Nothobranchius furzeri: one gene and its partner. The protein of the gene in region 2 purifies or fractionates together with the protein of the main gene of each other region. This does not show direct contact. Links are inferred from orthologs where the notes say so. Each region holds a gene or a part of one and is shown on either strand. Other genes may lie near its edges. The genes, in order: sdc2 and pdpk1b.

Evidence for each region.
Region 1: the proteins of pdpk1b (region 2) and sdc2 purify together in Homo sapiens (affinity purification with mass spectrometry; 4 studies listed by BioGRID and IntAct, counting the BioPlex papers as one, with this or other methods). This does not show direct contact. The link is inferred for Nothobranchius furzeri from reciprocal best matches to the Homo sapiens genes PDPK1 and SDC2.

The regions. Positions count from the first base shown.
Region 1 is NC_091759.1:26,361,872-26,365,789, forward strand, and holds the start of sdc2 (syndecan-2), read right to left. Parts: upstream 2,985-3,918; 5' UTR 2,948-2,984; intron 2,811-2,947; exon of another isoform or gene 2,740-2,810; 5' UTR 2,617-2,739; coding exon 2,557-2,616; intron 1-2,556. UniProt on the Homo sapiens protein: Cell surface proteoglycan which regulates dendritic arbor morphogenesis.
Region 2 is NC_091756.1:32,805,327-32,808,670, reverse strand, and holds the end of pdpk1b (3-phosphoinositide-dependent protein kinase 1), read right to left. Parts: intron 3,305-3,344; coding exon 3,229-3,304; intron 3,154-3,228; coding exon 3,085-3,153; intron 2,553-3,084; coding exon 2,456-2,552; intron 2,342-2,455; coding exon 2,168-2,341; intron 1,869-2,167; coding exon 1,660-1,868; intron 1,541-1,659; coding exon 1,483-1,540; intron 1,296-1,482; coding exon 1,143-1,295; intron 1,029-1,142; coding exon 915-1,028; 3' UTR 686-914; downstream 1-685. UniProt on the Homo sapiens protein: Serine/threonine kinase which acts as a master kinase, phosphorylating and activating a subgroup of the AGC family of protein kinases.

The DNA of each region.
Region 1 (3,918 bases), on a different chromosome or scaffold from region 2:
CCGAGATGCACCATGCACCGGAACACCGAGCTGCACCGGAACACGGACCTGCACCGGAACACGGAGCTGCACCGGAATACCGAGCTGCACCGGAACACGGAGCAGAGTCTCACTGGTTTTCAGTGGGGGGTGGAGCCTAAAAGCCCAAACAGAAACCAGTTTGGGTCAGGATCACAGGAAAAACATCCAGCGGTACTGATCTCCGTCACCCTCCCAGAATAAATGATCCCCTCTAAAGACGGAGCTGTGACCTTTGACTTTTACCTCTGAGATTCTGTCACAGCTCCCGGAGTTTCCACGCTGTCACCTGTTTGGTGTCATAGACCTGTCAGAGACCAGAACCATGAATGTGTTCCATTAAATCAGTCAAATCCAGACGTTCTGATCCATTAATAACCAACCGGACCGGATTCAGCCAGCTGAGTTCTGCTGGATCATGAAACTCGACCCGAGCGTCTAACCGCTGTTAGCTCACTCGTTCCTGCACCGTGAGTCACCGTCTGGGTCTGGACCCGGCCCGCTTTCTGTGGTCAGAGTTCAGACAGCCGAGCCTGCGATGTCAGAAGCAGCGGCGGCGGCTGGTGGAAGCCAGCCCACTGTTGGTCTCGTTTGGCTTTGATGTGGACCAGGCTGAGAGCTGGTCTTCACCCAAACATCTCACACTTCCTCATGGCCCACCTGGGATGTGGAGGCGGTCCAGGTCTAGACAGGACGGGACAAACTCCACCTTCTGAATATTCATGAGCTGCTGATTACAGCCCTGACATCAGCAGACTCAGGAAATTCCATGTGGAATTACTTCTGCGGGTCAGGAGTTCGGCTCCGGAGAACGGATCTGAACACTCAGCTGTTTCCTCTCGTGATGATAACCCGGATCCATCCAATGGTCATGTGACCCTGAGGTCATGTGACTCTAACGAACCGAACTTGAACATGCCACAGACCGTTCACTGAACATCTACTCCAAGCTAACTGGTTTACACTGGTTTGAAATCAACTGGTTTCTGCTGCCGACCAGAACCAGAGAACCAGGAGGATCTGTAGGAACCAATCAGAGAGCAGCATTTAGTCCAGCTTCATAACTAAGGAACGTTTAGATCCAGGAACTCTACTTCCCCTCTGGGATTAATAACGTATCTTTGAATTTTAATGTATTCTGTTAAAAATCACAGAACCGGGATCAGCGGGTCAGAACCAGAACCAGCGGGTCAGAACCAGAACCAGGATCGCTGCATCCGTTCTGGTGAACTGTCGGGTGTAAAGTATTCCTCCAGTGAGACGGAGATCAGCTGATGGGAAAACCAAACAGCTGCTTCCAGATGTTGACACGAACAAACAGGAGCCTTCGTCTCCGATCCGATGGAAAATAAAAGCTTCTTCCTCACAAACAAATGTAAACAAATGAGCAGGTCACCACAGCTGCTCCTCCTCCTCCTCCTGAAACAGGAGCAGTAAAACCAGGAGAACCTAACGAGTTTCTACTGCAGCAGTTCTCACAACATAATCAGAAGAAAGCATTAAACCGACCCGACACCAGAACCCAAACACACAGACCTGAAACACGCGAATAATCCCAACAAACAACAACAACAACAACCTGTTTGTGAGTCTGAGCGAGTCAGCAAAGGTTCCTGCCAAAATAAAAGCCTCCCAATCAGCATGACAGAAGGGAGGTGGGGGGATGGTGTGTGTGTGTGTGTGTGTGTGTGTGTGTGTGTGTGTGTGTGAAAAAGACCTACAGATTCAGATGGAGACCCAAATGGCTTCCAGATGTTCCATCTGAGCTGGGTTCTGGTTCTGGACCTAAAACCTAGAACTTGATCAGGTGTTGATTATTTATTTCACTTCCTGTTTGTGGTTGGGTGTAAATATCCCTTGTTTCAGATTGAGCGGTACCAGCGAATCGGACCTCATCATTGCCTCCCACCGTGCTCAGAGTCCAGTATCAGCCAAGGCAGACCAGAACCAGAACCAGAACACCTCTGAACCACTTCCATTACTGCCAGTTGGTTCTTCGCTGTAGAATAACCAAACAACCAGTCCGTGTGGGTTCAGGGCAGAACCGTACCATCTGGGTTGAGACAGAACCATCAGCCTGAAGTATAAACCCGGGGTCAAAGTTCACCCTGAGAGCTCCAGAGGGGACGCACCGCACCCAGATGATGTCACGAATTAGAACCATAGAGTCCGATGTGTTCCTCACTATTTAGAACACACACGCGCGCGCACACACACACACGTTCTGTGGAGGTGACTTCACATTCAACAGTGACATTAAAACATGGAATTAGATCTGAGGAAGAGGAGGCTCTGAGCAACAAGTCAGAGCATCAGTGATGAAGAGTAACACACACACACACACACACACACACACACACGCACACACACACAAGCTCTGTAACACAGCGCGTGCACTGCACACTGTTGTCACATTCTACCCACAGCAACTTAGACCCCCCCATACCCCCCCCCCCCCCCCCGTGTGAAGCCTGCCGAACCCCCAGTGGCTCCGCGGACCCGCAGGAACTTTTTACCGGGCCGCGGCTCCGGACTCACCGAGCCTCCGCAGAAGAAGCCGCTCAGCGCGACGCTCAGAAGGATCCAGCCGCTCCTCATCGTCGCTGCTCGGTTGAGGTTCGGGTCCGGTATTCCTGCAGCTCCCGGAGCTCCCGTTCCTCAGGGTCCACCGGATTCTGGACTCCTCCTCCTCCTCGCAGCTTTTCAGCTCGGAGAATCTGACTGAGACAAATGAGCGCGTGAGTGTGCAGATCCTCCGCAGCACAAATCTGCACGAGACACGTCGCTCGCTCCTTGTGCGCACGCACTGAGCACGAGCACAACCGTGCGCGCTCATGTGAGTTACAATCAGACGTAGGGGGAGTAGCGAGCACGAGCCAACAACAAGTAAACAAACAAAGTAAATGCAGAAGAAAGAAACATAAATAACCTGCTCCAATCAGCTGATCAGGGACAAGCTCCGCCTCATTAAACAACCGGCGGAAGAAGCGGCGCGCTGAGTGGGTGGAGCTTGTAATCCAACACCTCCTCTCAGGAGATAAACTCCTCCTCCGTGTGTATCTCCGCTTCCAGCCGGATCGCATCGCGGCTGAGCGAATAGGAGCGGACCCTGGTTGTGAGGCTGCCGTCGCACCATCACGGACAAAGTCTCCCCCTGCCGGTGAAAACCCGGAACTTCAGCAGAACCGGGTCAGCTGTAGGAGAACCTAAAACAGGTTTTCATAAGGAGCAACCCACCCTGGACCTTCACCAGTCTGCCTGCAGAACCAGCAGAGGATGCCATGTCCCCCCCCCCCCCCCCCCCCCACACACACACACACACCGGTCTGCTACATCTGGAACAGCAGGAACACACACATGCTGATGGTGGACTAACTGTTCTGTTCCTCAGCCTCCTCCACAGAGGCAGAGAAGCTAAGATGACCGAAGACCACCTTACTACAGATCTGCTGCTCGCGCCGCAGTGTGTGTGTGTGTGTGTGTGTGTGTGGTACAGCAACTGTACTCCCTAAGAGAAAAAAGCTCTTCACAGGGTCATCAGGGCTGGACCCTCCTCACCCTGAAAGACACCAACATCTCCTGTTGCTGCTGGAGAGCTACGAACATCTCACAGGACCATCACACCCAGGGCAGTGCCTCTTCCAGCTTCTGCCACCAGGGCACAGATCCATCATGGTTACCCAGGAGCAACCACGGCTCGGAACCGCAGGAACCATCCTCCTGATGGACACAGAGGAGGAACCTGCAGAGAGTCCTTACACACCTGTCTACTCTGGACCATATTCCTCTGATCCTGCCTCCAGCAGGTTAAGGTGTGACTTTCTATCCTGTGGAGCCAGAGAGTTTCCATGGTAACCACATTCAAACACATTCCTCTAAAGTGGTAAACTTTGTTATCAT
Region 2 (3,344 bases):
AAAAAATACCCACCTTTAAACTTAAAAATAAAATAAAACACTATCTCCAGTGCCCCAAGAAAAAAGCGAACAAAGATGAGTTACAAAACTGGCCATGCTGGAAAAATAAGCAAGTGATGATTTAAGCAGAACAAGCTAGTGGCGTGTTTATGCCCCGTTAACAAAAACATCTTCAGCATCAGCTATGAATGGCTCACCCTTACATGCTAGTCCAGGCCAACTTTACTGCAGATCTGCTTCGTTACACTGACACCTTTACTGGACTGCAATAAGCAAGTACCAAGAGATTGGAAAAGGACATGAAAAAGCAAAAACTTAAATACGCATTGGGTTCAGACAAAAGTGAGGTTTGAGTTGGATAAAGGTGAAACTGAATCAGTTTACAGTATCTGTTACAAATATGGAGTACACGCACTAAAAGTTGGGCTTTTCTACAGCTTGCACATATTGTGTATGATTATGGATATGGTTTAATTAAGATATATAATCAGGCTCCAGTTCATAAAAGCTAGATTTTGTTTTATCGATGAAGCAGGAAACCAGTCTTTGTATTTGGGATGGTCCTAGCAGTACCCAAGCTTGTGTCACTGTACAAGACAAGCTTGCCCATCTCTGTCCCTGCCAAGCAGAATGTACAAAATGCAGATGTGAATAATGGAAATCTTGTCATCCATACATGGGAAAAAATATGCAAGAGAAGCCTCACAGAGAGCACAAAGAACAAGCAAAGCAACCCTGAATCCAAAGCTGTGTTTCTCCCCTGGATCTACTCAGGAAAACAAACAAGATCTAGATGCCAGCGTCTCTAAGAGTTTGTTTACAATGCGGTGATGAAGGGCACTAAAGAGGGTGTTACTCTGCTCAGTGATTGGCCTCAGAGCTAAAAGGGAGTGGGCACAGGATGAAATGTGCTCCTATAGGCCAGGGTTTTGGTGCCTTTGATAGATCTTTCTCCATACTTCTTGGATCTTCTTGCACCATCTGTCTGCATTTCCACTGGGGTCCATCAAATAGTATGTTCGGTTTGGCTAAACACCAAAAGAGAAAGAAAAACATGTGTGACGAGACTCCAAACAATGAGCAAGTATGAGCAGGCTGCTGGAGAAATATTTGCAAGACTTCCGAAATAAATCTTTGTTTACCGTGTGAACAAAGAAGGTTTTGAAGTTCTTGGCCTCTGGGCGTAACTCTAAGGACCAAGGAATCTCCCCTTTCAGGACTCTGTTGACAGGATCCACGTAGTACAGGTGTGGTCCTTCAGTGAGGAGCAGCTGTCTCCGGCGAGCAAACAGACCCTGGCACGGAATGCAAACATTTCAAAACATGAGTTCACCAACAGAGGGGGCCGCGGGGCCTGTAGGGCTTTCCTCAGCACAATGCAAGAGGTTCAACAACCAGAGCAAAGAGTTCCCTGATAAAAGTTTAGGGTTAAAGCCAGACTTGTGCAAACAGTTAATCATAAGACATAGAAATCCCACCGACCTTGCGTTTATCCACTGGGCCCATTTTGAGGATCAGATTATTCTCTACAAACTGGTGCCTGTGTAAACAAACACAAGCGTGCATGGTTGAGCCATCATAACTCCTTTCACATTTCTTGAAGATGAGCCAAGTCTGACAGCAAACAACTTTTCAAAGCAAGACAAAAACGGAAACTACCAGGCGTTCCCAGTAGTCTGTTTGTCCAGCAATAGTTTCTTTTCTTCATCAGTGAACTGCAGATCTAGCTCAAAGGAGTTGTTGTCCAGGTCGTGGATGTACTGTTCAATGTTGCTGCTGGATCTTTGTGGCGGTGTGGGGTCGAGTGGCGACAAGGAGTGTGAAGGGGCCACCTGCATGTTGCTGAACTGGCTCAGGAGGTCATCGTACTGAGATTCATGATGCAACAAGGGATGAAAGAACAAAAGTCAGATTTACAGTTTGCAATGTCCTTAAAGCCGGGACCACACTGTGTGCTTTTTGGCCATCACACAGGATTGCTCATGTCACACGGTGAGGACTCCAGAAAGATGGCACGCTTTACGGTACAAGGTAGGCAGACTGCAGGACGTCCCGCTCCAGCAGAGCATGATTTGGCTAAGACGACCGAAAATTGTACAGTGTGGTCCAGGCATAAAAGGAATGATTAAAAAAAAACTACTTAGGACTGGGGGGGGGTATATCTTACATTTCCATAGCAGTCCTCGTCATCTTCTGACATAGCTGGCAGGTAGGGCGTAAGCTTAGGGGGTGTCTGGAGGTGTAGGTCGCTCCAGGAAATGGTGTCGAAGAAAGGATGATGCTGCAGTGGGCCGTACCCTCCCATCTCTTCACATCCAAGCCGCTTGGAGGGGTCCAGTGACTAAAGAGCAAACAGATCAGACAACAACTAAATAAAACCCCAAAACTAGCACATCTGCCCCCAGACAACAAAGGGGCCGAGGTAGAAGTAAAACGGCTGTGGTGGATAACCGACCAAAAGTTGCTCAACAAGATCCTTGGCTTTGGGGAAGAACTTCTCTGGAAATTCATACTCCAATTTTATTATCTTCTGGAATATTAGGTACTCGTTTCTATAATGTGAGAAAGAAGAAGAATCACAAATTAAATAATAAAACAAGTAATTTGCTCTTAGCACTTGTTGCACAACAATTTCAAAACAAATGAATCCTAAATACCAGTTCCTGCCTGCTGATAAGGTTTTAAAAACTCTATCAAGTTCAGAATTGTTCGTATGCGTTGGAAGAACTGACTTAAAAATGATCATCCAAAACATTTTATTACCAGGGACATTTGTACCACCTGCAGTATAAAAACAGCTTGCGTTTTAGTTTTAATTAAAGAAAAGAACCAGTTTAGCTTCCTATTCACGAGAATCGCCGTGTGGCTCAGACGCTTAACCAAACCACCTCAGTGACAGAAGAGGTCACTGAGAAACAGATTAAATGTGGGTGCCAAAGTGTTTCAGATGTACTTTAGAAAAAATAAACAAGTGTTTAGGAAAACATTTTAATAGTAAATTAAGTCTCGAAAAACATTTAGGTATGCCATGAAGCACTTTGAAACATTGCAATACCATTACAGAAGTATCCCATCAGTACTCACCCTGCTCTGAATGGTGGTAAACCAGCCACCAGTTGATAGATTATACATCCCAAGGCCCACAGGTCAGAGCTTGGAGAAAAAAGAATGATTCACTTACAGAAGTGAAACCTGAAATTTGAATAACCAGAACACAAACGGTTCTACCTCTTGCAGGCGGATTTTTCAGTCAACAGCTCTGGAGACACATATTGTGCTGTTCCAACAAAGGAGTTTGCCCTCGCTGCAAAAAAGGAAATTTTAAGGATGAACTCACAATTGGG